4 linked regions of the Anolis sagrei genome follow. The protein of the gene in region 4 interacts with the protein of the main gene of each other region in a pairwise test. Links are inferred from orthologs where the notes say so. Each region holds a gene or a part of one and is shown on either strand. Other genes may lie near its edges. The genes, in order: CUL5, RITA1, PKP4 and GOLGA2.

Evidence for each region.
Region 1: the proteins of GOLGA2 (region 4) and CUL5 interact in binary tests that used the Homo sapiens proteins (3 or more experiments, as listed by UniProt). The two-hybrid records come from large-scale screens. The link is inferred for Anolis sagrei from reciprocal best matches to the Homo sapiens genes GOLGA2 and CUL5.
Region 2: the proteins of GOLGA2 (region 4) and RITA1 interact in binary tests that used the Homo sapiens proteins (3 or more experiments, as listed by UniProt). The two-hybrid records come from large-scale screens. The link is inferred for Anolis sagrei from reciprocal best matches to the Homo sapiens genes GOLGA2 and RITA1.
Region 3: the proteins of GOLGA2 (region 4) and PKP4 interact in binary tests that used the Homo sapiens proteins (3 or more experiments, as listed by UniProt). The two-hybrid records come from large-scale screens. The link is inferred for Anolis sagrei from reciprocal best matches to the Homo sapiens genes GOLGA2 and PKP4.

The regions. Positions count from the first base shown.
Region 1 is NC_090023.1:26,179,670-26,186,864, forward strand, and holds the start of CUL5 (cullin-5), read left to right. Parts: upstream 1-4,186; 5' UTR 4,187-4,502; coding exon 4,503-4,526; intron 4,527-7,195. UniProt on the Homo sapiens protein: Core component of multiple cullin-5-RING E3 ubiquitin-protein ligase complexes (ECS complexes, also named CRL5 complexes), which mediate the ubiquitination and subsequent proteasomal degradation of target proteins.
Region 2 is NC_090034.1:45,200,590-45,208,197, reverse strand, and holds the start of RITA1 (RBPJ-interacting and tubulin-associated protein 1), read left to right. Parts: upstream 1-4,599; 5' UTR 4,600-4,779; intron 4,780-4,793; exon of another isoform or gene 4,794-4,822; intron 4,823-7,608. UniProt on the Homo sapiens protein: Tubulin-binding protein that acts as a negative regulator of Notch signaling pathway.
Region 3 is NC_090021.1:201,404,755-201,412,500, forward strand, and holds the start of PKP4 (plakophilin-4), read right to left. Parts: upstream 3,020-7,746; 5' UTR 2,867-3,019; intron 1-2,866. UniProt on the Homo sapiens protein: Plays a role as a regulator of Rho activity during cytokinesis. May play a role in junctional plaques.
Region 4 is NC_090031.1:16,805,328-16,813,067, forward strand, and holds the start of GOLGA2 (golgin subfamily A member 2), read right to left. Parts: upstream 3,005-7,740; 5' UTR 2,870-3,004; coding exon 2,822-2,869; intron 1-2,821. UniProt on the Homo sapiens protein: Peripheral membrane component of the cis-Golgi stack that acts as a membrane skeleton that maintains the structure of the Golgi apparatus, and as a vesicle thether that facilitates vesicle fusion to the Golgi membrane.

The sequences.
Region 1 (7,195 bases), on a different chromosome or scaffold from region 4:
CAATACATCTACACTCCGTTTTAGCTGCCATGGCTCAATGCTATGAAACACAAGCAGAAAGAGTGCTCATAATCAGACTTCTAGACCTAGATCACTTAGGCCCCGTCTCCATGTCACCTTTTGACATATGGAGACCTCGTGAATTTCATAGAGTTATCTTAGGCACAAAATATATAAGGTGCACCTACACCGTAAAATTAATATAGACAAACTGTAATGGTTTAATGCTATGGAACCATGGGAGTTGCAGTTCTACAAGGACTCTAGCCCACTTTGCCAATAGTGCTGGTACGTACAACTCCCATGACTCCACAGCATTGAGTCATGGCAGTTAAAATGGTAGCAAACTGCAATAATTCTACAGCGTAGGTACATTCACAGAGGTGATTTTTGCCAGTTCCTTCCTTGGAAATCGATAAGGTGGGCAAAAGTCACAAATAGTTTTCAATATTTCATAACTCCTTAATTTTTTTGTTTTGTAGGTTACAATATCATAGCATCACATGGAGTACATTACATGTAAAAAAATCTAATTGGGTAAATTATATCCAATACCATGGCATCATAATAGATAGAGTAGGCCAAAAGACACAAAGGAATTTCAATATTTAATAACATACATATGATACATCTGTATTATTGAAGGCTTTCACAGCTCGAATCACAGGGGTGTTGTGTGGTTTCCAGGCATTTTCTCCTGACTTTTCATCTGAATCTGTGGCTGGCATCTTCAGAGGATATGTTTATTTATTTATTATTTATTTACAACATTTGTATACCGTTTTTCTCACCCCGAAGGGGACTCAAAGCGGTTTCCACATAGGTAATGGCAAAATTCAATGCCAGCACAAACAATTACAATTGTACAATTACAGTTAGACATAAATCAAATTAAAATACATCCATAAACAGTAAAATTCTACAGTGTAGATGCACCCTGTGTGTGTATATGTGTGTACATGTATATACATCTAAACATACATAAATATATGTGTATATATGTATATGTATGTACTTGTATACACATATACACATTATACATATGTTTGTATACATGTGTGTACGTGTATATACATATACATATTATATATGTGTGTATATGTGTTTACATGTATATATTAACATTATACATATGTGTGCACATATGTGTGTACATGCATATACACATACACATTATACATGTTATGTGTGTCCATGTACACAGATATATATATATATATACATTATACACATACATGTATATGTGTATATATGTATACATGTGTGTATATTTGTGTTTATGTGTATATACATATAAGCATACATAAATATCTACATGTGAAACATTTACACACATACATACATATACACATACATAAATGTATATATGTGTGTACATGTATATACATATACACATACATAAATACATGTGTGCATGTATATACATACACACATTATACATATATGTGTATACATGTGTATAATGTACATATACACATTATACATAAATGTGTGTATATGTGTAGATGTATATACATACACTTTATACACATGTGTGTATACAAATATATGTGTGTACATGTATATACATATACACATTATATGCTTACTTACTTACTTACTTACTTACATACATAGGCGATCCCTCGTTGTCCGAGTAGGATTGTCTTCCAAGATCGGTGTATAAGCGGTGACTGTGGAGCCCTATTCTTGATCTGAATCTTCTCCCGCAGTGAGGGCATTGGTTTCCAAGTGGAAAGTGGTCCCAGTCAGGGTTGGCTTGGCAGGCCTTCCTTTTCACATGTTTCTCTCTTTTGCCCCTTCAGATTCTACAGCACTTCTGGTCACAGCTGACCTCCAGCCAGGGCTTCCCAGTTCTCAGTGTCTATGCCAGAGACATTATATGCATACAGATGTTGTTGTTCATTCGTTCAGTCGTCTCCGACTCTTCGTGACCTCATGGACCAGCCCACGCCAGAGCTCCCTGTTGGCCGTCACCACCCCCAGCTCCCTCAAGGTCAGTCCAGTCACTTCAAGGATGCCATCCATCCATCTTGCCCTTGGTTGGCCCCTCTTCCTTTTGCCTTCCACCTTCCCCAGCATAATTGTCTTCTCTAGGCTTTCCTGTCTCCTCATGATGTGGCCAAAGTACTTCAACTTTGTCTCTACTATCCTTCCCTCCAATGAGCAGCCGGGCTTTATTTCCTGAAATATGGACTGGTTGGATCTTCTCGCAGTCCAAGGCACTCTCAGCACTTTCCTCCAACACCACAGCTCAAAAGCATCGATCTTCCTTCGCTCAGCCTTCCCTAAGGTCCAGCTCTCACATCCGTAGGTGACTACAGGGAATACCATGGCTTTGACTAGGCGGATCTTTGTTGCCAGTCTGATGTCTCTACTCTTTACTATTTTATCGAGACTGGACATTGCTCTCCTCCCAAGAAGTAAGCGTCTTCTGATTTCCTGGCCACAATCTGCATCTGAAGTAATCTTTGCACCTAGAAATACAAAGTCTGTCACGGCCTCCACATTTTCTCCCTCTATTTTCCAGTTGTCAATCATTCTTGTTGCCATAATCTTGGTTTTTTTGATGTTTAGCTGCAACCCGCTTTTGCGCTTTCTTCTTTCACCGTGATTAGAAGGCTCCTCAGCTCCTCCTCGCTTTCGGCCATCAGAGTGGTGTCATCTGCATATCTGAGGTTGTTAATGTTTCTTCCAGCAATTTTCACCCCAGCTTTGCATTCATCCAGCCCCGCACATCGCATGATGTGTTCTGCATACAAGTTAAAAAGGTTGGATGAGAGTATGGACCAGTACAACCAGAGATATACATGTATACACATGTACATATACACTTCATACATAAATGTGTGTATATGTATGTACATGTATATACATACACACTTTATACACATATGTGTGTTTATACAAATATATGTGTGTACATGTATACACATATACACATTATATATGTTGTGTATATGTATGTACATGTATATACATACACACTTTATACACATATGTGTGTTTATACAAATATATGTGTGTACATGTATACACATATACACATTATATATGTTGCCAGTTGCGCCCGTACCTTGGGAAGTCTGACTTGGCCACGGTAGTCCACGCTCTGGTTACATCCCGGATTGATTACTGCAATGCGCTCTACGTGGGGTTGCCCTTGAAGACTGCCCGGAAGCTTCAGATGGTCCAGCGCTCGGCGGCCAGGTTGCTAACGGGAGCGGCACTCAGGGAGCATACCACTCCTCTGCTGAGCCAGCTCCACTGGCTGCCAATCCGCTACCGGGCACAATTCAAGGTGCTGGCTTTAGCCTATAAAGCCATAAACGGTTCTGGCCCTGCTTACCTCTCCGAACGCATCTCTACCTATGAACCGACCAGAACATTAAGATCGTCTGGGGAGGCCCTGCTCTCGATCCCGTCTGCGTCACAGGCGCGCTTGGCGGGGACGAGAGACAGGGCCTTCTCAGTGGTGGCCCCTCGGCTATGGAATGCCCTACTGGCAGACATCAGGCAGGCACCTTCGCTGCTGACGTTTCGGAGAATGGTTAAGACCTGGCTTTATGAACAAGCGTTTGGTTAAGCAGTGCAACCAATCATAGGAAGACGGTAAATGGAACATAGGAATGGCACAAGGATTATGAAAACGGATCTGATTTCAACTGAGGCGTTATGTTATGTTTGTCTTGTTGATCTGTCTTGTTGATTGTTAATTGTTGTGGATTGATGCTGTTGATCCTGTTTGTTGCATTGTTATGTTTTAATTGCACTGACACTGTTTGATACTTGTACCATGTAAACCGCATTGAGTCGCCTGTCAAGGGCTGAAAAAATGCGGTATAGAAAAAAAGCAAATAAAATAAATAAATAAATAAATAAATATGCATATAAATATAAATGTGTGTTATTATGTTTAAATACTGAAACCCCGTTGTGACTTTTGGCCCACCTTGTGAAACATCACCTGGTCCTTCTTGGCGGCCTCCCACCCAAGTACTGACCAAGGCTGACCCTGCTTAGCTTCCAAGAGCTTAGCGATGACGTCATCAGCGGGGAGGGAGGTTAAGGCAGAATTCTGCGAGGAAGAAGAAAAAAAGAGTGTCAGGATGACCTCCGGCCGGCAGGGGTCGCTGTGGTGGGAAGCCTCAGCGGCGCACACTCTCCCTCCCTCCCTCCCCTTCCCTCGGTGCGGCGGGGGCTTCCGGCTCTGGGGCGCCGCATCATGTGGGCTCTCGCGGAGCCGGGCCGCTGCGAGACGACGGCTCTCCTGCGAAGCCTCCTCCGTGAAAGAGGCCATGAGGCGCTGAGGGGGAAAGAGGAGGCGGAAGCTAGTGCCAGCCCCTGACCGAGCGGCGAAGCATGTAAAGGCAAAGGAAGAGAGGAAGCCGCCACCGCCGCCGCCGAAATCTCATCCGCCGCCGCCGCCGCCGGCCTGGTCAGGCCTCTCTTGTGCGCCTGCGCGGGCCCCCCTCCCCTTGCGTGCTGTGGAGGGGGGCAACATGGCGACGTCTAATCTCTTAAAGGTGAGAGGAGGAGGCGGCTGGGCCTGGAGGAGGGTTGAGAGGTTATTATGTGGAGAGGAGGAGGAAGAGAAGAGGGAAAGCCAAGAAGGGGAAGTGAGGAGGGAAGAAGAGAGGCTGTGTGTCTGTATGTAGATTATATCTATCTATATTTAAGTGCTGTGTTCGTTTTGGGTGACATCATAACTCAAAAACCGCTGGACTCATTGCCACCAAATTTGGCCACAAGGCACCTACTAACCCAAGGAGTGATCATCAGAATTGATTTTGTCACTTGGGAGTTGTAGTTGCTGCGATTTATAGTTCACCTACAATCAAAGAGCATTCTGAACCCCACCAACTATAGAACTGAGTCAAACTTATCACACAGGACTCTCCTGACCAACAGAAAACACTAGAAGGGTTTGGTGGGCATGGGCCTTGTATTTAGGATTTGTAGTTCACCTACATCCAGGGAACACTGTGGACTCAAACAATTAAGGATCTAGACCAAACTCCATATGCCAAATATGAACACAGATGGGGTTTGGGGAAAATAGACCTTGACATTTGGGAGTTGTAGTTACTGAGATTTAAAACACTAGAAGGGTTTGGTGGGCACTGGCCTTGAGTTTAGGAGTTGTGGTTCACCTACATCCAGGGAACACTGTGGACTCAAACAATTAAGGATCTAGACCAAACTCCATATGCCAAATATGAACACAGATGGGGTTTGGGGAAAATAGACCTTGACATTTGGGAGTTGTAGTTACTGAGATTTACAGTTCACCTAAAATCAAAGAGCATTCTGAACCCCACCAACTATAGAATTGAGCCAAACTTATCACTCAGCACTCCCATGACCAACAGAAAACACCAGAAGGGTTTGGTGGGCATGGATCTTGAGTTTAGGAGTTGTAGTTCACCTACATCCAGGGAACACTGTGGACTCAAACAATTAAGGATCTAGACCAAACTTGGCACGAATACTCCATATGCCAAATATGAACACAGATGGGGTTTGGGGAAAATAGACCTTGACATTTGGGAGTCATGAGATTTATAGTTCACCCACAATCAAAGAGTATTCTAAACTCCACCAACAATAGAATTGGGCCAAACTTGGCACACAGGCCAAGAGAAAACACTAGAAGGATCTGATGGCCCTTGAGTTTAGGAGTTGTAGTTCACCTACATCCAGAGAGCACTGTGGACTCAAACAATTAAGGATGTAGAACAAACCCGGCACACAGAACTCCCATGACCAACAGAAAATACAGGGAGGGTTTGGTGGGCTTGAATTTCAGAGTTGTAGTTCACCTACATCTAGAGAACACTGTGGACTTAAACAGTTAAGGATCTAGAGCAGTGGTTCTCAACCTGTGGGTCCCCAGATGTTTTGGCCTTCAACTCCCAGAAATCCTAACAGCTGGTAACTGGCTGGGATTTCTGGGAGTTGTAGGCCAAAACACCTGGGGACCCACAGGTTGAGAACCACTGATCTAGAGGGTTTGGTGGGCATGGACCTTGAATTTAAGAGTTGTAGTTTACCTACATCCAGAGAACACTGTGGACTCAAAACAGTTAAGAATCTAGACCAAGCTTGGCATGAATACTCCATATGCCAAATATGAACACAGATGGGGTTGGGGGAAAATAGATCTTGACATTTGGGAGTTGTCATTACTGAGATTTATGGTTCACATACAATCAAAGAGCATTCTGAACCCCACCAACGATAGAATCGGGCCAAACTTCCCACACAGAACCTCCATGACCAGCAGAAAATACTGTGTTTTCTGGTGGTCTTTGGCAACCCTTCTAACGCCCCCTTGTGACCCCCCCCCCCAGGGTCCCTACCCCCAGGTTGAGAAATGCTGCCTTAAGGCCATCCACTCCCAACTTCCTTCAAGAAAACATAATCAAAGCCCTCCTGATAAAGAGCCATTAAGCCATAGATACAGATAAGGTATATATGATTCACACACACAAATATGTATGTATATGACAGATATAGTATATATTTGAAAGGGAATCCTTAAAGAAGGACAATTATATGTTGCTTGTTCCAGAGTAGGCAGTCCAGACAATCTCCACATCAACACTGACAAAGAAACAACAAGAAATACTGTTTACCCACAAGCATAAAGAAATTGCATCAACCAACACTTTCTCCCTACTTTATTTTCCAGCTCACCAGACTGGGCCACAGCAACATGTGGCAGGGGATGGCTATATGTAGAGATCTGTGCTTGGGCTGAGGCCTCTTCCACACAGCTATATTCAATCTCACATTGAACTGGAATATGTCAGGGTGGACTTAGATAACCCAGTCCAAGGCAGACATTGTAGATTATCTGCCTTGATGTTTTGGGTTGTATGTCTGTGTAGAAGGGCCCTGAGCCCACACTGCCATATAATCCATTTCAGTGTGGATTTTATACAACTGCATGGAAGGATCCTGAGATAATTCTGATACATTGAAGTTCTTAGAATCATAGAGTTGGAAGAGACCTCGTGGGCCATCCAGTCCAACCCGCTATCAAGAAGCAGGAAAAATCACATTCAAAGCACCCCTGACAGATGGCCATCCAGCCTCTGTTTAAAAGCCACCAAAGAAGGAGCCACCACCACATTTTGGGGCAGAGAGTTCCACTGCTCTCACAGTCAGGAAGGTCTTCTTCGTGTTCAGG
Region 2 (7,608 bases), on a different chromosome or scaffold from region 4:
GATTGCCTCGTTGCCACCATTTTGTGGATGTCCAGGGAGCATGCTGATCTTGGGCAACTGTCGCAGTCACCCCAGAGGAACCCCAAGATGTCAGCAGGCTGCCTGAGTCCTTGGTATGGAGGGATCTGTAGTTCTCTCCACGGATCTCAATCTTCAACGTTGGCAGTCGGCTCATAAGGACTCTGTGGACACTGGGACACCTTTTCCCACTTGCCTTTTCTGGATTTCACAACTTTGATCAACTTTCCCAAACTTTCAAGAACTTTTAAAAACTTGGTGGACTACCTTGCATGAATAGGGATGATATGATTTCATGCTTATGAACTTATTCCTTTGGACTCTAGTGGGTGGGATGAGTGTATTATGAAATCCCTTTATGCTTCATTGTCCCTTATGTGTCTCCCTTGAACCTTATGTATGTGTCTGTATATGAAATATGGGAAGCCACCCTTTTCGTGACCCCAGTGAAACACCAGCCTTGGGAAGTTCATTTCCTAGGGCAAATTTCCATTGATTCTAGGTTTTCAACAAAGACTATTTACATGATAATAACCAGGCTCTCCCTCAGTTTCGGATCATGACCACTTGGGAAAGGGCCCCTGGTAAACTAGTCATCTATCAACAAAGAAACATCCTGCCTCCAAGGGAGGCCAGGATATCCCAGCCTTCCTCCCTTTTGTCATTTCCCCTTGGACCAAGAAAATCTACCAAATTACAAAGTGATCCAATATCTAAGACAAGGAAATACCAGGGCTTGGCAATCGTGCCCGCTATAAAGATACGCTCTTGATGGCCAAACAATATAACTGGACAGGGGCAAACAGATCCCAACACTGTCCCTCCTTCAATAAGGAATTCACACCACTTTGGCACTTATAGTGTTTGAGGGGATGTCTCTTGATTAAAACCTTCGCTGCCACCATAAACTGAAGAATCAGGAACCCTCTAGCTATTTAGAATGTTAAAAGGCTTTTCTAGGACCACCAAACACTGTGTATTAAAAAGGGCTTCTTTGAGGGGAAACAGGAGAGGTTGATTTAAAAAGAAAAAAAGACTGAATCTACAAATGGCACTTGACTCAGGCTTAAATTTTAAAAATAACAAGAAAGGTTTATTGAATACAAGTTACAGAATAAAAGTGAATGCAGTTGTAGAGTCTTTGCTGTTACAAATTAAAGTGTTCTTGGTTCTTAGAAGCGTAATGGTTGCTTGAGAGAATGGTTCTATTCTTTGTTACAATTCCTAAAGAAAACCCAGCTATTTCCTTTCTAAAATAGCTGTAACCAGTCTGCCACAGCCTACTTTGCTGTGCAAACTACAGGCAAGCTGCCTATTCCTAACAGAGACTCCTAAAACTCTAATCCTACTCTAACATCACCCAGAACTGAACTGAACTGTCAAAATAAGCTTCTCTCTTTCCCTCCAACTGGCTAACTCCGCCCCCCTTTTCCAAACCAATCCTGGCTGTTGCTGGGCTGGCACAGGCCTAGGCCACTCCCCCTCTCTGAACTGGAGTCTTCCCTAAACTAAGATGGCTCCTGCCGCTCTCTGCCAGGCCTTCCTAAGCTGAAACTACCTAGCCTGTCTCTTCCTAGGCCCTGCCACCCCCCAGCTGGCAAGGTAAGGGATCTTTACACCCGCCATATCTGCATATCGCAACCTTTCAAGAATACCCAGCCAGCTTGAGGAATCTTTTCTTTTGATTAATCGCCAGCCATTTGGACACATTGAGCCATTCTAATTCAATCATCTGGACATTCCTTTCATTGTTCTTCCCAAGGACCGCCTCCTCCGCTCCTATTGGTCGAAAGCTCGAAGTGGCACTGGCTTTCTGATTCACTGAGGCGCAGTCAAGCTGGCTGCGCCTCCTCTCCAGCTGATGACAACAACCAATCAGGAGAAGGCTGGCTGAGGGGTGGGAAATTTGAACTTTGACAGCTCTGTTTCTCTATAAAAATGTACTGCAATGTATTGAATGTATGTCTCTCCTGACGAACTATCGCGGTTTGACATCCGTACCAGCTGGATGAAATAAATACAACTCGGTGGCTTTTCTTCAATTTTGGTGAGATTTATTGGGAAAAATCTGGGGAAAATTCTATTGGCTTTTCCTTTGCTCGCCAGAGTTCCGGATCCTCATTTTTTAATTTTTTTATTTAGAGCTTTTATAACCCGGTCTTCTCGACCTCCGAAGAGGGACTCAGGCCGGCTAACAGCAGAAAATTCAACACATATATAATGAACATAATAGCATCATAATACATTAATACATTAAAATACAGATCATACAATATCACACAAAAGCCATGTTTTTACCAGCTTTCTGAAAGTCAGGAGGGAAGAGGCGGATCTAATCTCCAATGGGAGAGAGTTCCAGAGCCGAGGGGCCACCACCGAGAAGGTGCTGTCCCTCGTCCCCACCAGACACAATTGTGAAGGTGGTGGGACCGAGAGCAGGCCCCCTCCAGAAGATCTTAACAACCTTGATGGTTCATAGGAGAGAATCCGTTTGGACAGGTAAACTGGGCCGGAGTCGTTTAGGGATTTATAGGTCAACACCAGCACTTTGGTGGGTCTTAGGGCTCCGTTCTCCTGGGTGAGTCTCCAAACTCTAGCTCAATATCATTAGGCTGGCAGAAGCTGGGGCTGACAGCGGAAGCTCATGCCGCTTCCCAGATTTGAACCTGCAACCTTTCGGTCAGCAAGGTCAGCAGCCCAGCAGTTTAACCCACTGCGCCACCAGTGTCTCCCTATTGTATAATATAATAATATAATATTTTATTGTATTGTCGAAGGCTTTCATGGCCGGAATCACTGGGTTGTTGTAGGTTTTTCCGGGCTATATGGCCATGTTCTGTATCAGACACTGATATTTTATTTATTATATAATACATTATTATTTTATTACATTATGTGATACTAGCTGTACCCTGCCACGCGTTGCTGTGGTCCAGTCTGTTGATCTGGAAAATAAAGTAATGAGAAAGTGTTGGTTTCTAATATACGTAATTTCTTTATGCTTGCAGGTAAACCGTACTTCTTGTTTCTTTGTCACTGTTGATGTGGAGAGTGTCTGGTTTGCCCACCCTGGAACATGCAACATATCATTGTCCTTCTTTAAGGGTCCCTTTCAAATCTATGATACTATATCTCTCTGTGTGTGAATCATATGTATCTGTCTGTCTGTCTATCTATCTAATCTATGGCTGGATGGCTCTTTGTCAGGAGGGTTTTGATAACGTTTTCTTGCCCTGAAGAAGGGAGTTAGATTGGATGGCCTTAAGTATTTTCTGTTGGTCATGGGGGTTCTGTGTGGGAAGTTTGCCCCAATTCTATCGCTTGTGGGGTTCATCATGCTCTTTGATTGTAAGTGAACTGTGAATCCCAGTGATTACAACTCTCAAATGTCAAGGTCTATTTCCCCCAAACTCCATCTGTGTTCATATTTGGGTGTATCGAGTGTTTGTGCCCAGTTTGGTCCCGATCCATCATTGTTTGAGTCCACAGTGCTCTCTGGATGTAGGAGAACTACAACTCCCAAACTCAAGGTCAATGCCCACCAAACCCTTCCAGTATTTTCTGTTGGTCATGGGAGTTCTGTGTGCCAAGTTTGGTTCAATTCCATCATTGATGGAGTTCAGAATGCTCTTTGAGTGTAGGTGAACTATAAATCCCAGCAACTACAACTCCCAAATGACAAAATCATAATTTTTTTGAGTGATGGTCACTCCTTGTGTGGTGAGATGTTTTGTTGCCAAATTTGGTGTGATTTCGTTCACTGGTTCTTTTGTTTTTAAGGTACTCATTATGAACAGAGCATTTTTATATATATAGAAGATAGATAGTCATATAATAATATACTGTTATATTGTATTGTATTATTCGATCCCATAGCATTGGATCCTTATTATATATTATTATATAATAATATTATATTGTATTATATCATAATATAATATTAAAAAGTATTATATTAATTATGTTATGCTATATTATATTATATTATATTATATTATATTATATTATAAAGCCATGGTATTCCCTGTAGTCACCTACGGATGTGAGAGCTGGACCTTAGGGAAGGCTGAGCGAAGGAAGATCGATGCTTTTGAGCTGTGGTGTTGGAGGAAAGTGCTGAGAGTGCCTTGGACTGCGAGAAGATCCAACCAGTCCATCCTCCAGGAAATAAAGCCCGACTGCTCACTGGAGGGAAAGATACTAGAGACAAAGCTGAAGTACTTTGGCCACATCATGAGGAGACAGGAAAGCCTAGAGAAGACAATTATGCTGGGGAAAGTGGAAGGCAAAAGGAAGAGGGGCCGACCAAGGGCAAGATGGATGGATGGCATCCTTGAAGTGACTGGACTGACCTTGAGGGAGCTGGGGGTGGTAACGGCCGACAGGGAGCTCTGGCGTAGGCTGGTCCATGAGGTCACGAAGAGTCGGAGACGACTGAACGAATGAACAACAACAATATTATATTATATTATTTGTAGAGTTTAAATGTACCCTGAGATATTTTCATGAGAGATCTGGTGTATGACACCCAAGCCTAAAAAAGACAGTCATTTATGTTGCAGAGACGCACAGCCTGAAATATAATATTTTGTGTGTGCATGAAACCAAGCCATCAGAAAGCAAAGCAGAGAAGCCAGCAAGTTCCTGTCTTGCTCTAATCAAGAGCCGCGAATGGGAACCGGAAGTGAAGAGTTGTTCCTCGTCTTCTTTCATGAGGAGCTGATCGGTGGCCGAAAGAGGGGCCAAGGAGGCGAGCAAACCGTAAGATCGGGGCCGAGGGGGGGATCGGGGCCGGGCTGAAAAGGTAGGACTGCAAAAAGAAAGGGAAGAGAATGCCTCAGGCCGTGTGCAAAAGCCAGAGATGGCTTGGATTGGCTGGTTTTCTGCTGCTTTGCAGTCGTTTCCCAGGGAAACGAGATGCAAACAATGAAAAGGGTGCATATGCTGCACGGTCGAATGAGGACAGCTTGACCTCCCCTGAACTGCTTTGGCTCCAGATAGGGGATCCTGCGAGTTGTGGTTCGGCGGGGAAGACTCAAGACCTTGGGAAACTAGAACTTGCAGGAAGACCTATTACCCTGAGCCCGGGCAGTTTAAATGGCGCGTCTACATTGTGGAATGGATGCAGGTTGACCCCATTTAAACTGCCTGGGCTCAGGGTAATAGGTCTTCCTGGAAGTTCTAGTTTCCCAAGGTCTTGAGCCCCCTCTGGGTGCTTCTATGCTGCTGAAGACCTTGGGACTCAAGACCTTGGGAAACTAGAACTTACAGGAAGACCTATTACCCTGAGCCCGGGCAGTTTAAATTGGGTCAACCTGCATCATTCCACAATGTAGACGCGCCCTATAGTGAACTCAGTGCAATGGTGTCCTGGGAGTTGTAGTTCTCCAAGGCCTGCTAAACTATAACTCGCAGGATTCCATACCCCGGAGGCCTGGCAGTTCAAGGGACATCAAGCTCCATTCATTCAGCAGCACAGATGCACGCAGAGGAGGCTCAAGACCTTGGGAAACTAGAACTTCCAGGAGGACCTATTACCCTGAGCCCGGGCAGTTCAAATTGGGTCCACCTGCATCCATTCCACAATGTAGACGCACCCTATGGTGAACTCAGTGCAATGGTGTCCTGGGAGTTGTAGTTCTCCAAGGCCTGCCAAACTATAACTCGCAGGATTCCATACCCTGGAGGCCTAGCAGTTCAAGGGAGATTAATCTGCATTCATTCAGCAGCATAGATGCCCCCAGAGGGGGCTCAAGACCTTGGGAAACTTGAACTTCCAGGAGGACCTATTACCCTGAGCCCAGGCAGTTTAAATGGGGTCAACCTGCATCCATTCCACAATGTAGACGCGCCCTATGGTGAACTCAGTGCAATGGCGTCCTGGGAGTTGTAGTTCTCCAAGGCCTGCCAAACTATAACTCGCAGAATTCCATACCCTGGAGGCCTGGCAGTTCAAGGGACATCAAGCTGCATTCATTCAGCAGCATAGATGCTTCTGCTCCAGGGTAATAGGCCCTCCTGGAAGTTCTAGTTTCCCAAGGTCTTGAGCCCCCTCTGGGTGCTTCTATGCTGCTGAAGACCTTGGGACTCAAGACCTTGGGAGACTAGAACTTCCAGGAAGACCTATTACCCTGAGCCCAGGCAGTTTAAATTGGGTCAACCTGTATCCATTCCACAATGTAGACGAGCCCTATGGTGAACTCAGTGCAATGGCATCCTGGGAGTTGTAGTTTTCCAAGGCCTGCCAAACTATAACTCGCAGGATTCCATACCCTGGAGGCCTGGCAGTTCAAGGGACATCAAGCTGCATTCATTCAGCAGCATAGATGCTTCTGCTCCAGGGTAATAGGTCCTCCTGGAAGTTCTAGTTTCCCAAGGTCTTGAGCCCCATCTGGGTGCTTCTATGCTGCTGAAGACCTTGGGACTCAAGACCTTGGGAAACTAGAACTTCCAGGAAGACCTATTGCCCTGAGCCTGGGCAGTTTAAATGGGGTCAACCTGCATCATTCCACAATGTAGACGCGCCCTATGGTGAACTCAGTGCAATGGCATCCTGGGAGTTGTAGTTCTCCAAGGCCTGCTAAACTATAACTCGCAGGATTCCATACCCTGGAGGCCTGGCAGTTCAAGGGACATCAAGCTGCATTCATTCAGCAGCATAGATGCTTCTGCTCCAGGGTAATAGGCCCTCCTGGAAGTTCTAGTTTCCCAAGGTCTTGAGTCTCCTCTGGGAGCTTCTATGCTGCTGAAGACCTTGGGACTCAAGACCTTGGGAAACTAGAACTTCCAGGAAGACCTATTACCCTGAGCCCAGGCAGTTTAAATTGGGTCAACCTGCATCCATTCCACAATGTAGACGCGCCCTATGGTGAACTCAGTGCAATGGTGTCCTGGGAGTTGTAGTTCTCCAAGGCCTGCTAAACTATAACTCGCAGGATTCCGTACCCTGGAGGCCTGGCAGTTCAAGGGACATCAAGCTGCATTCATTCAGCAGCATAGATGCTTCTGCTCCAGGGTAATAGGCCCTCCTGGAAGTTCTAGTTTCCCAAGGTCTTGAGTCCCCTCTGGGAGCTTCTATGCTGCTGAAGACCTTGGGACTCAAGACCTTGGGAAACTAGAACTTCCAGGAAGACCTATTGCCCTGAGCCCGGGCAGTTTAAATTGGGTCAACCTGCATCCATTCCACAATGTAGACGCGCCCTATGGTGAACTCAGTGCAATGGTGTCCTGGGAGTTGTAGTTCTCCAAGGCCTGCTAAACTATAACTCGCAGGATTCCGTACCCTGGAGGCCTGGCAGTTCAAGGGACATCAAGCTGCATTCATTCAGCAGCATAGATGCTTCTGCTCCAGGGTAATAGGTCCTCCTGGAGGTTCTAGTTTCCCAAGGGTTTGAGCCCCCTCTGGGAGCTTCTATGCTGCTGAAGACCTTGGGACTCAAGACCTTGGGAAACTAGAACTTCCAGGAAGACCTATTACCTTGAGCCCAGGCAGTTTAAATGGGGTCAACCTGCATTCATTCCACAATGTAGACGCACCCTATGGTGAACTCAGTGCGATGGCATCCTGGGAGTTGTAGTTCTCCAAGGCCT
Region 3 (7,746 bases), on a different chromosome or scaffold from region 4:
AGATGGTCCAGTGACCTTTGGCTGTTAAGAGAGCTGGGCAAGGAGCGGATCTGTTGCAGCAGTCTTCCTAGGCATTCCTCACATTCCTGCACTATCGGAAAGCTCCAGGAGCAAACTACGTGCCCCCTCCCACACACAAGCACACACACCTGCCCTCCCATTCGCCCAGAGAGCCAACCGCTTCCGTCCGTCTGTCGCACTCCTCAAACATGCAGCCAAAAAGGCAAGCAGCCACTACCCCTCCCAGTCTTCCCCCTACAAAGTGATTGCAGGGGCATAGGAGTTGTGAGGTCTGGTCTGCTTCAGAGGAAAGCCAGGACAGGGAGAAAGAGAGCGGGGAGAAAGAGAAAATGCCACTGGCACTCTATGGATTCTCTCCTCAAGCTTAGATGCAAGGAGCTCTAACAAGCAAATGGGGGAAATACAAGATGGGGCGAGGTCGAGTGAGGGTAGACTATACAGGTTAAGAAAGAAGGGTTTTTGGAGGGCCAAGACTGAGCCGAGGGAACAGGGAAATGAGGGGAAGGGCTTTTAAGAAGCCGAAGAAGCAGGAAGAAATGCCTGCAACGACAAGGAGAGAAAGGCTGAGGCAAAGGAATGGAAATAGAATTGAAGGGATGGAAAGCGAATTGTCAGGGTTTGGGAGGCATGAACAGGTTTGTGCATACTAGTCAGGAGGAGAGCTGTTACTGGCACTCAAGGAATGGGAAAAAGGCACACAGGAGTAAACAGATAACTAAAAGGCAATATCAGATACAGGATAAGGAGTGAAAAGCTTTACAGAAATTAGAGCGCATCCCTTTTAACAAGGGGCCAAAAATTAAAGAAAGGCCAGGATTTTTTTTCAAAAGGCAATGTTCAGGGAGTGAAGGACATCAGGTAAATTCCTGGTGAGGAAGAATAGCAAGTTACAATGAGAGGAATTTCAGGGGAGATAAATATCGTGAGATGAGTGGGGAGGGAGTTATTTCAGGACAAATGGAAACATTAAGAGAGTCTATGTTCTAGTAAAAGACTCGTGGGGTGCTGTATAGAATGGTACCCATTTCAACCAGTAAGCCCAAACTACACGAGGAAGGGCAAAGGAGACAAGTAATAAAAAGGAGGTGGCGGAATCTGCATAAAGGAAGTTGTTACAGGAGATAGGAGGACAGCTAAGGTGGAGCCTATTTATATTAAAAAAATTGAACAAGAAACTGATGGATATGGGCATCCTTAGAATTTTTTAAAATTGTGCCAGGAGCAACTTAAGAATTTGCAAGTCGCTTCTGGTGTGAGAGAATTGGCTGTCTGCAAGGACGTTGCCCAGAGGACACCCGGATGTTTGACCACACTGTGGGAGGTTTCTCTCATGTCCCCACATGGTGAACTGGAGCTGACAGACAGGAGCTCACCCCGCACCCCGGATTTGAACCGCTGACCTTTTGGTCAATAGCCCTGTCAGCACAAGAGTTTAACCCATTGCTCCACCACAACACACTCTTAGGATAAGAAATAAATAAATAAAATGTTTAGGATGGGAAGACACAGAAGGCAGAGTTGATGGAAGCAGAATATTGTCAGGATGATAAGATGGAGCACCCACTGCTGATTTACAAAAGAAAATAAGTAAAATAGGGAAATGGGTGGGGGGAAAGCACCCTGAAGATAAAGAGAAAGGGGGGAGGGGGAATTATGCTTAGGATGGGAAGATAAGGAAGGAGGAGGTATAGTGGGAAGGGGGGCAATGCAAAGGTTACTTAGAGGGTAAAGGAGAGGATCTTGGAAAGTGGGATGGGAAAGGAAACGAGAAAAGACAAGACAAGCAGCAATGTTTATGAGGAGCGGCAGTCCTAAGCAGAGCCAAACCAAGGAGACACACTGACGATGAGAAATAATTACACCGTAAATATAATAAAAATAAGATATAGTGGGGGAGAGGGGCGATGCAAAGGTTACTTAGAGGGTAAAAGAAAGGATCTTGGGAGTCGTAAAGTGGGATGAGAAAGGAAGCAAAAGGAGACAAGATAAGCAGAGAGGAAGCAGTGCTAAGCATAACCAAACCAAGGAGACACATTACATTGACCATGGGAAATAAATACATTTGAATATAATAAAAAATGATATGATGATGGTGATACCACGAGGATTTCAAGGGAGGCTGGCAAGTTTTGGGAGAATGATGGGGCACTTGAAACCCTCCTGTTTGAAACAAATACATGTAAATATAATAAAAAATAATGATGTGATGATACCACAAGGATCTCAAGGGAGGCTGGCAAGTTTTGGGAGAATTATGAGGCACTTGAAACCCTCCAGTTTGAAACAAATACATGTAAATGTAATAAAAAATAATGATATGATGATGATGATACCACGAGGATTTCAAGGGAGGTTGGCAAGTTTTGAGAGAATGAGGGGGCAATTGAAACCGTCCTGTTTGAAACAAATACATGTAAATGTAATAAAAAATAATGATATGATGATGATGATGATACCACGAGGATTTCAAGGGAGGTTGGCAAGTTTTGAGAGAATGAGGGGGCACTTGAAACTCTCCTGTTTCGCAATGGGAGGTCAAAATGGGGGGTAATAATTACACTAACAACAATATAATACTAGTAATGCGATAAAGTAATAATATGACCACAAGGAGGGGCAAGTTGGAGGAAAGGATGGGAAAGAGGCGAGCCAGGCTGGATGCCTCGTGCCTTCTTCCCCTTGGTCTCCCACAGGGAGGGAAGTTGCTGGAAGAAGGAGAGGGCAAGGCGGGGGTGAGGGTGGCGAGGAGCTGCCTCAGGATGCAGGGAGGCGACCCACCTGGCCCCGCGCCCTCCCCTCCTCCCTCCCTCCCTCACGCTCTTCCTTCCCTCACTCCCTCACTCACCGCGGCGCCGAGTCTTCGCTGGCGCGGAGGGGCCGCCACCGCCGCCTCCCCGCCGGCCGGGAAGGGCCCTACCCCGGGGCGCCCATGGTCCCGGTGCCGCCACCGCTGAGGAGAAACACGAAACCCTCCTTCCTTCCTCCCTCCCTCCCTTCCTTCGCCGCCTGCTTCTCCCCGCCCCTCCGCCAGACGTCAGCGCCTCGCCCTGCCCTGCGCCTCGCCCCGATTGGAGGAGCGCGCCGCGAGACGCCTCGCCATTGGCCCGCCGCGGGGCTCAAACCGCCCAATGGCGGAGCCAGCTGAGGTTGCCAGGGTTACCGATGCTGTGAAGAGGCCGGCGGGCGAGCAGGCGAGGAGAAGGAGAAGAAGGGGGGAAGCTGCACTTCCTTCAGGTCAGGCCCGGCCCAGGGAGAGGGGCTCTCTCGCACCTCCACACCCCGCTACAGTCATCTACAGTTTGACACCGTTTTCAACTGCCAAGGCTCCATGCTGGGGGATCCTGGGAGTTGTAAATTTGGTGAGGCACCAGCACTCTTCGGCCGAGCAGCAACCTCGAGGCCTTCTGAAGCTACAGCTCCCACTATTCCATAGGATTGAGCCATGGCAGTCAATGTCTGCTCAAGCTGCGTTCCAATTTACAGTGTACATCAGGCCTGGGCAAACTTCGGCCCTCCAGGTGTTTTGGATTCTAACTCCCACAATTCCTAACAGGAATTGTGGGAGTTAGGGTCCAAAACACCTGGAGGGCCGAAGTTTGCCCAGGCCTGATGTACAGTGTACACTGATGTACACTGTTTGCCCAGGCCTGATGTACACCTAACAGGAATTGTGGGAGTTGGAGTACAAAACACCTGTAGGAATTGTGGGAGTTGGAGTCCAAAACACTTCAGCCCTCCAGGTGTTTTGGACTCCAACTCCCACAATTCCTAAAAGGAATTGTGGGAGTGGGAGTGCAAAACACCTGTAGGAATTGTGGGAGTTGGAGTCCAAAACACCTGGAGGGCTGAAGTTTGCCCAAGCCTAATTCCTAACAGTTTGGAATTGTGGGAGTTGAAGTCCAAAACACCTAGAGGGCCAGAGTTTGCCCCTGCCAGGTGTAGATGCAGGGAGAAATTGGGAGGTAATGAGGGGAGGATGGGGACCAATAACAGCAAGAGATGCATGGACTTCAACTCCCACAATTCCTAACACTTAGGAATTGTGGGAGTTGAAGTGCAAAACACCTGGAGGGCCAAAGTTTGCTCATACCTGGTGTAGATGCACTCCAGGGCGGTAATGGGGGAGGATGGGAACCAATAACAGCAAGAGATGCAGGAACTTGTGCCCTAAGTAAACTCTATTGCTTCCCCACCACTTTCAGGATGCATCTACACCAGGCCTGGGCAAACTTCGTCCCTGCAGGTTGTTTGGACTCCAACTCCCACAATTCCTAACACTTAGGAATTGTAGGAGTTGAAGTGCAAAACATCTGGAGGGCCAAAGTTTGCTCATGCTTGGTATAGATGCACTCCAGGGAGGAACTGGGAGGTAATGGGGGAGGATGGGAACCAATAACAGCAAGAAATGCAGGAACTTCTGCTCTAAGTAAACTCTGCTGCACTGGTTCTTAACCTGTGGGTCCCCAGATGTTTTGGCCTTCAACTCCCAGAACCCCTAACAGCTAGTAAATTAGCTAGGATTACTGGGAGTTGTTGGCCAAAACATCTGGGGACCCAAAGGCTGAGAACCACTGGTCTAGTGTTTCCTCCACTATTCTCGGGGTGCATCTATATCAGGCCTGGGCAGACTTGAGCCTTCCAGTTGTTTTGGACTCCAACTTTCACTATTCATAACAGTTAGGAACTGTGGGAGTTGAAGTCCAAAACACCTGGAGGGCCAAAGTCTGCCCCTGCCTGATGTAGATGCACCCCAGGGAGGAACTGGGGGGAGAATGGGAACCAATAACAGCAGGAACTTGTGCCCTAAGTAAACTCTACTGTTTCCTCACCACTCAGGGTGCACCAGGCATGGGAAAGCTTTGGCCCTCCAGATGTTTTGGACGCCAAATCCCACAATTCCTAATATTTAGGAATTGTGGGTGTTGAAGACCAAAACACCTGGAGGGCCAAAGTTATCTACACTGTGTAATTAATGCAGTTTGACCCCACTTTAAGTGCCATGGCTCTGCACTATGGAATCCTGTAATAATAATGATAATGATAATATTCCTTACCCGCCTCTCCTCATGGCTCGAGGTGGGTTACAAAACAATTAAAATACATAAATACGGCTAATGATGATGGGAAGCAGAACTCAGGCAGAGAAGATTAAATGCCTAGTAAAATTTCTAATCCCATGCCACCATAGCGTTGAGCCATGAAAATTAAAGTGGTGTGAAACTGAATTAATTCTACAGTATAAATGCATCCTCAGAAACGTCTTCATCAAATAGATTAAAGCCACACAGGCAACATGCCTTTTAAATAGTACTGTTGTCCGGGTTTGCATTTTCTTTGCAGCTCTTTTTTTCCTTCTTCTGCTGTTTCCCTCATACACATTTTCTTTCTTTCTTCCCTTTATCTTCCTTCACTTCTCTTCGCTTCTTTTTCTTTCTAACCTCCCTCCCTCCCCCCCCCCTTTTTCCCATTCCTTTCTCTTTCTTTCCCTTCCCTCATACCTTCTCCCCAGGCCCGTAGCCAGGATTTCGATTTGGGGGGAGGGGCGGGGCTGAGTTTTTGTCAGGGTTTTTTGGGGGGGCTGAGTTTGGGGGGGGGGGCTGTGTCTGAGTGAAAAAGGGTCTACCCTAGCAAACCTTTTGTATCATTACCCACTTCTCCATGCATATGGGATATATTGAGTATGGTGATCAGATCATGATATGAATAAACAACAGTTTAAATAATGCACCAATAAGGCCTTTTCGCGAACCACCATAAGAATTTCAGGGGGGGGGCTGAAGCCCCTCAAGACCCCCCCCCCCCCCGCTACATGCCTGCTTCTCCTCTTTCCTTTCTCTTCCTTCCCTCCTTTTTCTTTCTTCTCTCTCACTCTTTTCCTTTTTCCTTCCTTTGTTTCCCTTTGTTTTCCTTCCTCCCTACCTTCTCTGCATACACATCACTTAGCAGCAGCCAATCTACTTCCCTCCCTTTCTTTCCCAAGTATGTTACAGAGGGCCACTTCACCTAGCAACAGCCAATCCACTTTGTTCCTTTTCTTTCCCTCAACTCTGCTGTATTTTTGTATTTGTCCCTAACATATATGAGATATATTTTATTTACTTTGTGTGTGTGCATGTGTGTGTATCCTTCCCACAAATTTTGTTGAAGATTTTGGAGATGTACTTTACTAAAGGTAACAGGTCCCATCTGATTTGCATGCGAAGGAAGGTCAGGCCTGATTAATACTTGGATGGGACAGCCAACACATACGGTCCTATGGGCTATATATATTTCAAAGGAATAGACTGGTAAAACTACCTCTGAGTATTCCTTGCCTAAGAAAACCCTATGAAATGTATAAAGTCACCATAAGTAGACAGGTGACATATTCACACACACAAGTAATAGCCAATACACTTAATGGAAACCCTATTTTTGATGTATTTTAAACAATCAGCAGTTCAGAAAGGAAAGTTATTTTTTCTGATGTTAATGGAGTTGCAGTTTTATTGCCCTCATTTTACAGCTTTTTGGCCACATCTACACTGTCATAAAATGCCATTTGAAGTTGTATTATGGTGGTGTGGATTGGGCCTTAGTTTCAGTGCTCACATGACTACAAAGGTCCTCTGATTCCATTGATATCTCTCCAGAACATCTTAACTGACAACAACAAAAACCCTGAGAGAACACAGACCTATGAGTCTAACTTCTCATTTTTTCTTTTTCTTGTATGATTGTTAACACTTTTGCCTAATGAAGAAGCCAGTGGAGCTTTGGAAGCATATGTGTTTTATGTGCATATTTTGTACATTTTTATTGTTTCGTGGATGTTTTGTTCTCTTAAAGTATGTATGTGCGTATCTTGTCTCTGATCAGATGTATGTAACTGCACATGCATGGTCACTTCACAAGAACAGTGCCTTTTAAGTTACAGAATCATAGAGTTCAAAGAGACTGCAAGGACCATCCAGTCCAACTTCCTGACATGCAGGTATACACTATCTGATATAGGAAAACCAGTCTCCTCCCACCCCAAGGTGGCCATATTTGTGTCCACTAGTTATATTTTATTTTTCCAATATGTCAAAGACTAGCACTATGTTTGCATCCATTGAGACCAACGTTTTTCTACTATTTCATTTTCCACATCATTTTGGTTTGTTAAGTATAATATATACAAGGGCAATTAGTTTATTTATATATAATTGTTTCTCATTCTTCAAACCATATGACTGAGTGGTGAAGTTAATTCTTTCTTGTTTAAACACATGGTGCATGTACACGGTAAAATTAATGCAGTATAACACTACATTACTCTGATTCATTGCCATGGAGTCACAGGAGCTGTAGCTTTACAAGGTATTCAGCCTTCTCTGCCACAGCGTGCTGGCACCTCACCAAACTACAACTCCCATGATTCTGTAGTATTGAACCATGGCAGTGTCAAATTGCATTAATTCCACCATGTAGATGCACCCCCAAGTGCATTACTGTACTGCTTTCCTTCAACCCTCTTGAGAATTTGCCTTTCAAGATACTAAGATGTTTCTGAATATATTTGAGTAGTAGCTATTCTATGCTTAGTGCAACCATAGCCATTGTCAAATTAAATATTAAACATTCACAAGCTTTGTAAAAGAGAGAGAGGAGAGGAAATGCAGCAGTGAGAAAAGAACGCCCAGTAAAGCAAAGTAGGGAAAGGAACTTGTTTAAGAACAAGGGGTATTACAGGCGTACGAGAAT
Region 4 (7,740 bases):
TGCAGGTTATCACCTACAAAGCCCTGAACGGTTTGGGACTCGTCTACCTTCATGACCACAGCTCCTTCCATAAACCTCCTCTGGGGAGGCTCTCCTTTCACTGCCACTTTTATGTCAAGTACAACTGGTGGAGACGAGAGAGAGACCCTTCTCTGCTGTGGCCCCTCAGTTTTGAAACTCGCTACCTAGTAAGATTAGGCAAGCCCCTACCCTGGCAGCTTTTAAGAAAGACCTAAAAACTTGGCTCTTCTGATATGCCTTTGGCAAGTGAACATATATTCCATATTTTGTCTGTTCCAACTACAGTTCCATCTTCATGATGCACTTTCCCCTGCCCTTAATGAAGGTCTAACCCAGGGGTCCTCAAACTAAGGCCCGGGGGCCGAATACGGCCCTCCAAGGTCATGTACCTGGCCCTCAAGTCTGAAATTCCTTGAAAACATACAACAACAACAACAACAACAACAATCCTATCTCATAAGCCAAAAGCAGGTCCACACTTCTCATTGAAATACTAATAAGTTTATATTTGTAAAAATTGTTTTCATTTTAATTTTTGCATTGTTTTAAAGGGTTTTTTTTGCACTACAAATAAGATATGTTCAGTGCACATAGGAATTCATTCATTTTTTTCAAATTATAATCTGGTTCTCCAAAAGTTTGAGGGACTGTGACCTGGCCCTCTGTTTAAAAAGTTTGAGGACCCCTGGTCTAACCCCATAGTTCATTCTTTTTGAGCTCTTCCCTCAGAAAGACATTCTCCCATCACTTATCTCATCCAGGGTTTTATCAATTTTATCCTAGTGCATTTGACCCGCCCACTGCATTCTATTTCTCTATCATGTTATTTTGTGATTGTTTATTTTATTTTGTTATTTCATGATTTTTTATTTTGATTTTAATTTTGCTTCTTTCTATTTTATCTTGCTGTACTATAATTTTGGGCTTGGCCTCTTGTTAGCCGCTCTGAGTCCCCTTTGGGGAGATGGTGGCAGGATACAAATAAAATTTATTATTATAATTACTGATGCAGGCCAAAATCCCATTCTTTTTTTAGCTGTCGAACGACATAGTTGGCTCATGTTAACTTGTTGCCCACGAAAACTCCAAAATCTTTTTCATACTGATATCGAGCCTGGCATTGTCCACCGGTCTGTATCATTGCATTTCATTTTTTCTGACTAAGTGGAGTATGTAGAGATGCCCAAGGATCTGCTTCCTCCCAAGAAACACCTCTCAAACTAAGAAACTATTTCACGTTTCTCTGAGCTCTGTCACTTTGTTTCAGCATTTAAATACAGACAGATGCATATAAGTGCATGTCAGAATAGAATAACTGCATCTCCGTTTACGAACCCACACGTTCATTTCGTTCATCTGGAGAGGCCCTGCTTGTGATCCCGCCTGCATCACAAGCGCATTTGGTGGGGACACAAGACAGGGCCTTTTCTGTGGTGGCCCCCCGACTCTGGAACACACACCCCCCCCCCAAAGATCTTAGACAGGCCCCTACATTGGCAGTCTTTAGAAACAACTTGAAGACCTGGCTGTTCCGATGTGCCTTCCCAGAATAGGAAATCTCCAATACCAAGTCCCAGAAGCACTTTATTAGAACTATGATTGCCGCGCACTGCACACTCCACTTACCCTATAATCCTTATATACCACCTGTCACATCAGCACTTTTAATTCTGTACCCATTACTCTGGCCTGGTCCAGTTTTATTGTGTTTTGGTGTATTGTTTATTGTTTTGTTGTTTAATATTGCTTTAATTGTTTTAATTTGCTTTAGGTCTGGAGAACAAGCCCTATGAAGAGCGGTTTAAAGAGCTGAGCATGTTTCGCCTGAAGAAGAGATGGCTGAGAGGAGACATGATAGCCGTGTATCAATATGTGAGAGGAAGACACAGGGAGGAGGGAGCAAGCTTGCTTTTCTGCTTCCCTGGAGACTAAGACACGGAACAATGGCTTCAAACTACAAGAAAGGAGATTCCATCTGAACATGAGGAAGAACTTCCTGACTGTGAGAGCTGTTCAGCAGTGGAACTCTCTGCCCTAGAGTGTGGTGGAGGCTCCTTCTTTGGAGGCTTTTAAACAGAGGCTGGATAGCCGTCTGTCAGGGGTGCTTTGAATGCAATATTCCTGCTTCTTGGCAGAATGGGGTTGGACTGGATGGCCCATGAGGTCTCTTCCAACTCTATGATTCTTGCATTTGTCTTTGTGGATATAGATACAGATCTATAAATCCCACTTGCCAAGTTTCCAAGAGACCTCACAATGTCTGGGGATGCCCGTCATAGATTTGGGCAAAACGTCAGGAGAGAATGCTTCTGGGACATGGCCAGACAGCCGGGAAAACTCACAGCAACCCAAAAACACCCTGAGTGGGTTGCTCCAGCCTGAGCCATCCAGTCCAACCCCATTCTGCCAAGAAGCAGGAATATTGCATTCAAATCACCCCTGACAGATGGCCATCCAGCCTCTGTTTAAAAGCCTCCAAAGAAGGAGCCTCCACCACACTCCTGGGCAGAGAGTTCCACTGCTGAACGGCTCTCACAATGTGGGCCTTGAGAAGGGAGGCGCGGCCTCTCTCTTCGGAGCAATCCCACTACGGGGCGGGCTGGGGTCTTCCGGCCTCCGAGGGGCGTGCCTAGGCCGGAGAGGCGCCTCGGAGGGGGCTAGGCCTCTGCCTGGCTGAGAAGGGGGCAACTAGGGGCGTGCCTGGGCCTAGAGGCCTAGGCCGCCTGGCGTCGTCGTAGTTGCTGTTTCGAGCCTGAGGCAAACTCCTCTCGGCCTCCCCTGCCTTCCCTTGCCGCGTTACCTTCTTCTTGGCCGCCGCCAGCTTGCTCTGCCTGCTCCCGTCCGCCATGTCCCCGGCCACGTCAGCCCGGAGGAAGGAGGGGAGGGCGGGGACAGCGCCGCCAGCTGACAAGACGGGGAGAGCTAATCGAGGCTCCGCCCGGGCCTAGCTTGGACGCGGCATTGCGCAGGCGCGGCCCTGACAGGCCCCGCTCCCAAGAGGGGGAGAGCCTAATTGGGGAGCGGCACTGCGCAGGCGCAGCCCTGGCAGGCCCCGCCCCCACGACGGGGAGAGCTAATCGAGGCTCCGCCCGGGCCTAACTTGGAAGCGGCATTGCGCAGGCGCAGCCTTGACAGGCCCCGCTCCCATGACGGGGAGAGCCTAATTGGGGAGCGGCACTGCGCAGGCGCAACTCTGGCAGGCCCCGCCCCCAAGGCGGAGAGAGCTAATCTAGGCTCCGCCCGGGCTTAGTGGAGAGCCGTACTGATTGGGTAGCGGCATTGCGCAGGCGTAGCCCTGACAGGCCCCGCCCCCAAGAGCCAATCTAGGCTCCGCCCGGGCCTAGTGGGGAGCCGCACTGCGCAGGCGCGGCCTCTGACAGGCTCTTTCCCAGGCGGAAGGGAGTGCGCAGGCGCAGTCTGCCTTCGCGCCATTTCGAAGCCTCCTCGTCCAGAGTTCCCTCACGAATGAAGTGCGTTCCTGCATTCCATTCAGTCAGGGGGAAAATAAAACAGCCAAACACTGTACAGAGAAGTAAAATCTGAGGTATTTATTGGTAATTGAGAGTGTCAACATAACGTTTCCAAGGAAGTTTTGTCGAGCATAGTGTCTAGATCTAGGGAAGTCATTCTCCCCATGCTCTATTCCGCCTTGGTTAGACCACACCTGGAATATTGTGTCCAATTCTGGGCACCACAATTGAAGAGAGATATTGACAAGCTGGAATGTGTCCAGAGGAGGGCGACTAAAATGATCAAGGGGCTGGAGAACAAGCCCTATGAGGAGCGGCTTAAGGAGCTGGGCATGTTTAGCCTGAAGACTTTTTTTATATGGCATCAAATTGTTTCCAGTCTGTAAGGCTGCCCTGAGTCCTCTTCGGGGTAAGAAATGCGGGGTATAAATATGATAAATAAATAAATTATTTTTTTAAATGTCTCAGTCTCATTCTTCTCCCAATTTTCCTTATTTGTAATCTTTTTCCAGTTGCTGCAAACTGAGTTAAAAGTACAAGAATGGGTGACACTCAATTGACTCGGCAAGATGATTATTATTTATATCCTGCTTTCTCTTTCCCAAAGGGGAATCAAAGCGGCTAGCACTAAACAAATTATACAATATCTATAATTATGTTACTAACTGGAGCGGGTAGCAGGGAGCACACAACGCCCTTGTTGTCCCAGCTCCACTGGCTGCCGATTTGCTACCGGACCCAATTCAAGGTGCTGGTCTTGGCCTACAAAGCCCTAAACGGCTCCGGCCCAAAATACCTTTCTGACCGCATCTTGGCCTACGAGCCCACGAGGACCTTGAGATCGTCTGGGGAGGCCCTTCTCTCGATCCCGCCTGCATCACAGGCACGGCTGGCGGGGACGAGGGAGAGGGCCTTCTCGGTGGTGGCCCCCCGGCTGTGGAACACTCTCCCGGCACACATCAGACAGGCGCCCTCCCTCATGTCCTTTCGAAAAAGCCTTAAGACCTGGCTGTTCGAGAGGGCATTTAATTAAGTGCTAAGCAACAACATTACGGTAATGAGAACTGGAATGGTACAAGGAAGATGAGACTGGCTATGATTCTACTAAGAGACGAAGCGGATTTTTATGTAGTTTGTATTTGTCGTATAGTTATATGTTGTTGATACTGGCCTTTGTAACTGTCTTTTTATGTGTACTGTACACCGCCATGAGTCGCCCGTAAGGGCTGAGAATGGCGGTTAATAAGTGCATCAAATAAATAATAAATAATAAATAAATATATTAAAACCCAGCAAGATGATTGTTATTATTTATATCCTGCTTTCTCTCTCCCAAAGGAGTATCAAAGCGGCTAACACTAAACAAATCATACAAATATGTAAATTGTCCTTTAGAAGACAAGTGAAGACTTAGCCCTGGGACTAGGCATTTCATTAATCAAATAGCGGCAATTGGAAAAAAGACTTAGGATATTTACGACATTGAATCTGCTTAGACTTGGATTTGATTTTACCGGCATGTATAATCTACTGTCTAATGAATTGTATAATGTGTTTTAATGGTTTTTAATGCTTTAATTCTACTTCGAATTGACAGCATCGTATGGTGCTTCTGTGAGGCCGCCCTGAGTTCCCCTTTGGGGGAGAAGGGAGGGGTAAAAGTGCATGAAATAAATAAATAAAACTCGGAACATACAAATATTAAAATAGAATTAAATATATGACTTATTAAAAGATACATACTTCAAACCAACAAAACAATTAGACTACATAAAACATAACACTTCCTGGTTCAGTCTTGAAAACTTTCTTCTTATAAGGTTTTTAATCTGTTTGTTTGATTGATTGATATGTGTTTTAATTGCTTATATGTTTAATTTGTTTATATTTTGATGAGATGTGTTTTATTGTTTACCTGTGCAGCATTGAATTTTTGCCAGATTTGAAAGCTGCCTTGATTTCCCTTTAGGATCAAGAAAGGCGGGGTAGAAATGAAATTAATTAATTAAAGAGCTGTCTGAAAAAAAACTCTTGTCCTTCCCAGTAGGCTTGGGCAAAAGGAAACTGCTGCAAACCCTCCTAGCTTATATATTCTTCCTTTTCAATCATGTTTCTCATTTTGACTACACTTTGCTGTTGTTCGACCAGTTTTCATATGTGAAATTGTGAAGGACATACTGTATGCTCCTACTTTCAGCATGATTGATGCCAGAGAATAGCAGTGACAGTCTGTCACATCTTTTCCGCTTGGGCCCACCATCATTTTGGCCTGACGAACACGTATATTCATAAAACCATACATACGCACACACCCTATTCCGACCTGTACTTTCTTGGTGTGTTTCTACACTGTAGAATTAATGCAGTTTGACACTACTTTTACTGCTATGTCTCAGTGCTATGGAATCCTGGGAATTGTAGTTCGGGCAGGCCCAGCACTCTTTGGCAGAGAAGGCTCAAGAGCTTCTTGTGATTATCTTGACCGATCGCAGTTAGTGAGAAATTGCATTGATCATTGTCTTGTCTGCAGTGGAGGATATTAATTCCATTGCAAGATTCAACATCCAGCTCATTCGCTTCCAGGCCTCTGTCTCTCTCCAACAAAATGTCTTAGGCCTGCTTTGAAAAGATCCTTGGTTGCAGATTTGCAGGATGGGCAGCCACAGCCCTGTGAAATCGGCTCAGAGAAAAGCTGTGCTTGTCTTCCCTCTCATCATATCATTCCCAAAGTATTCAAGCCATGTGAAAAGCTTATTAAATAATGACTCAGAGGGAAGGGCTGCTTACTCTACCTGAAATACCAGCTCCACTCATACTTGCCTGGAGGCTGTATCACACATTTATGAAGAAATACTGCTCAGCTCAAAACTTAAAAGTGTTACAAATCAGATTTATTATATTTATGCATTTAGGGATTTTAAGACCTTACCTTTTTTATTTGACTCAAGATGTAGAATGAATGCAGTTTGACATTACTTTATGTTTCAATGCTATGGAATCCTGGGAGTTGTAGCTTTACAAGGTCTTGAGCCTTCTCTGCCTAAAAATGCTGGTGCCATACCAAACTAAAACTCCCAGGATTCCATAGTACTGAGCCATGGTATTTCAAGTGTTGTTAAACTTGCATTCATTCTTCAGTGAAAAAGGAAATAATCCCCAGCAAAATGTCCTCCGAAGCACTTGTAACTACTCATTGGGTTGCTCTACCTTCATTTCTTTTAAAACCCTCCTATCAGATACATCCTATCTCTGTTCATGCCCAGCGTTTATTTTTTTAAAATTTTAAACTATTACATTTGGCCCGGCCATAGGTTTTTTTTAAAACCCTTGTGTGTTACTGTTTATATATGAGTTATATTAATTGTATTGTTTCTGCTTATTGTTTTTTGTTTTATTGATGTGTTGTCGGGCTTGGTTTCATGTAAGCCGCTCTGACTCCCCTTGGGGAGATGGTGGCTGGGTGTAAACAAAGTCGTCTCCTTCTCCTTCTCCTTATTATTATTATTATTATTATTATTATTACAGTGTAGAAGCCAATTTTCACCTTGTTTAATTCAGGATTTGGCTGTTTAAAGGCAATTCAGAGCTTTGAGATTACAGCTCCCAGAATCCCCCAAATTGGGAGAGAGTAATGGGAGTGCTTGTCCCAAAGCACTATGGATCACTCTATCTCTCTATCTATCTATCTTGTCTATCTAAAAATGCTCTGTGCATAATGAGTACCTTAAAAACAAAAGAACCAATGAACGAAATCACACCAAAATTGGCAACAAAACGTCTCACTACACAAGGAGTGACCATCACTCAAAAAATTATGCTTTTGTCATTTGGGAATTGTAGTTGCTGAGATTTATAGTTCACCTACAATCAAAGAGCATTCTGAACTCCACCAACGATCGAATTTAACCAAACTTGGCACACGGAACTCCCGTGACCAACACAAAATACTGAGAGGGTTTGGTGGGCATTGACCTTGAGTTTGGGAGTTGTAGTTCATCTACATCCAGAGAGCACTGTGGACTCAAACAATAATGGATCTGGACCAAACTTGGCAAGAATACTCGCCTAAGACATTTTGCTGGGGAGAGACAGAATGCCCAAATGTGAACACAGAAAATAAAAAATAGACCTTGACATTTGGGAGTTGTAGTTACTACGATGTATAGTTCACCTACAATCAAAGAGCATTCTGAACCTCACCAACAATAGAATTGGGCCAAACATCCCACACAGAACACCCATGACCAAC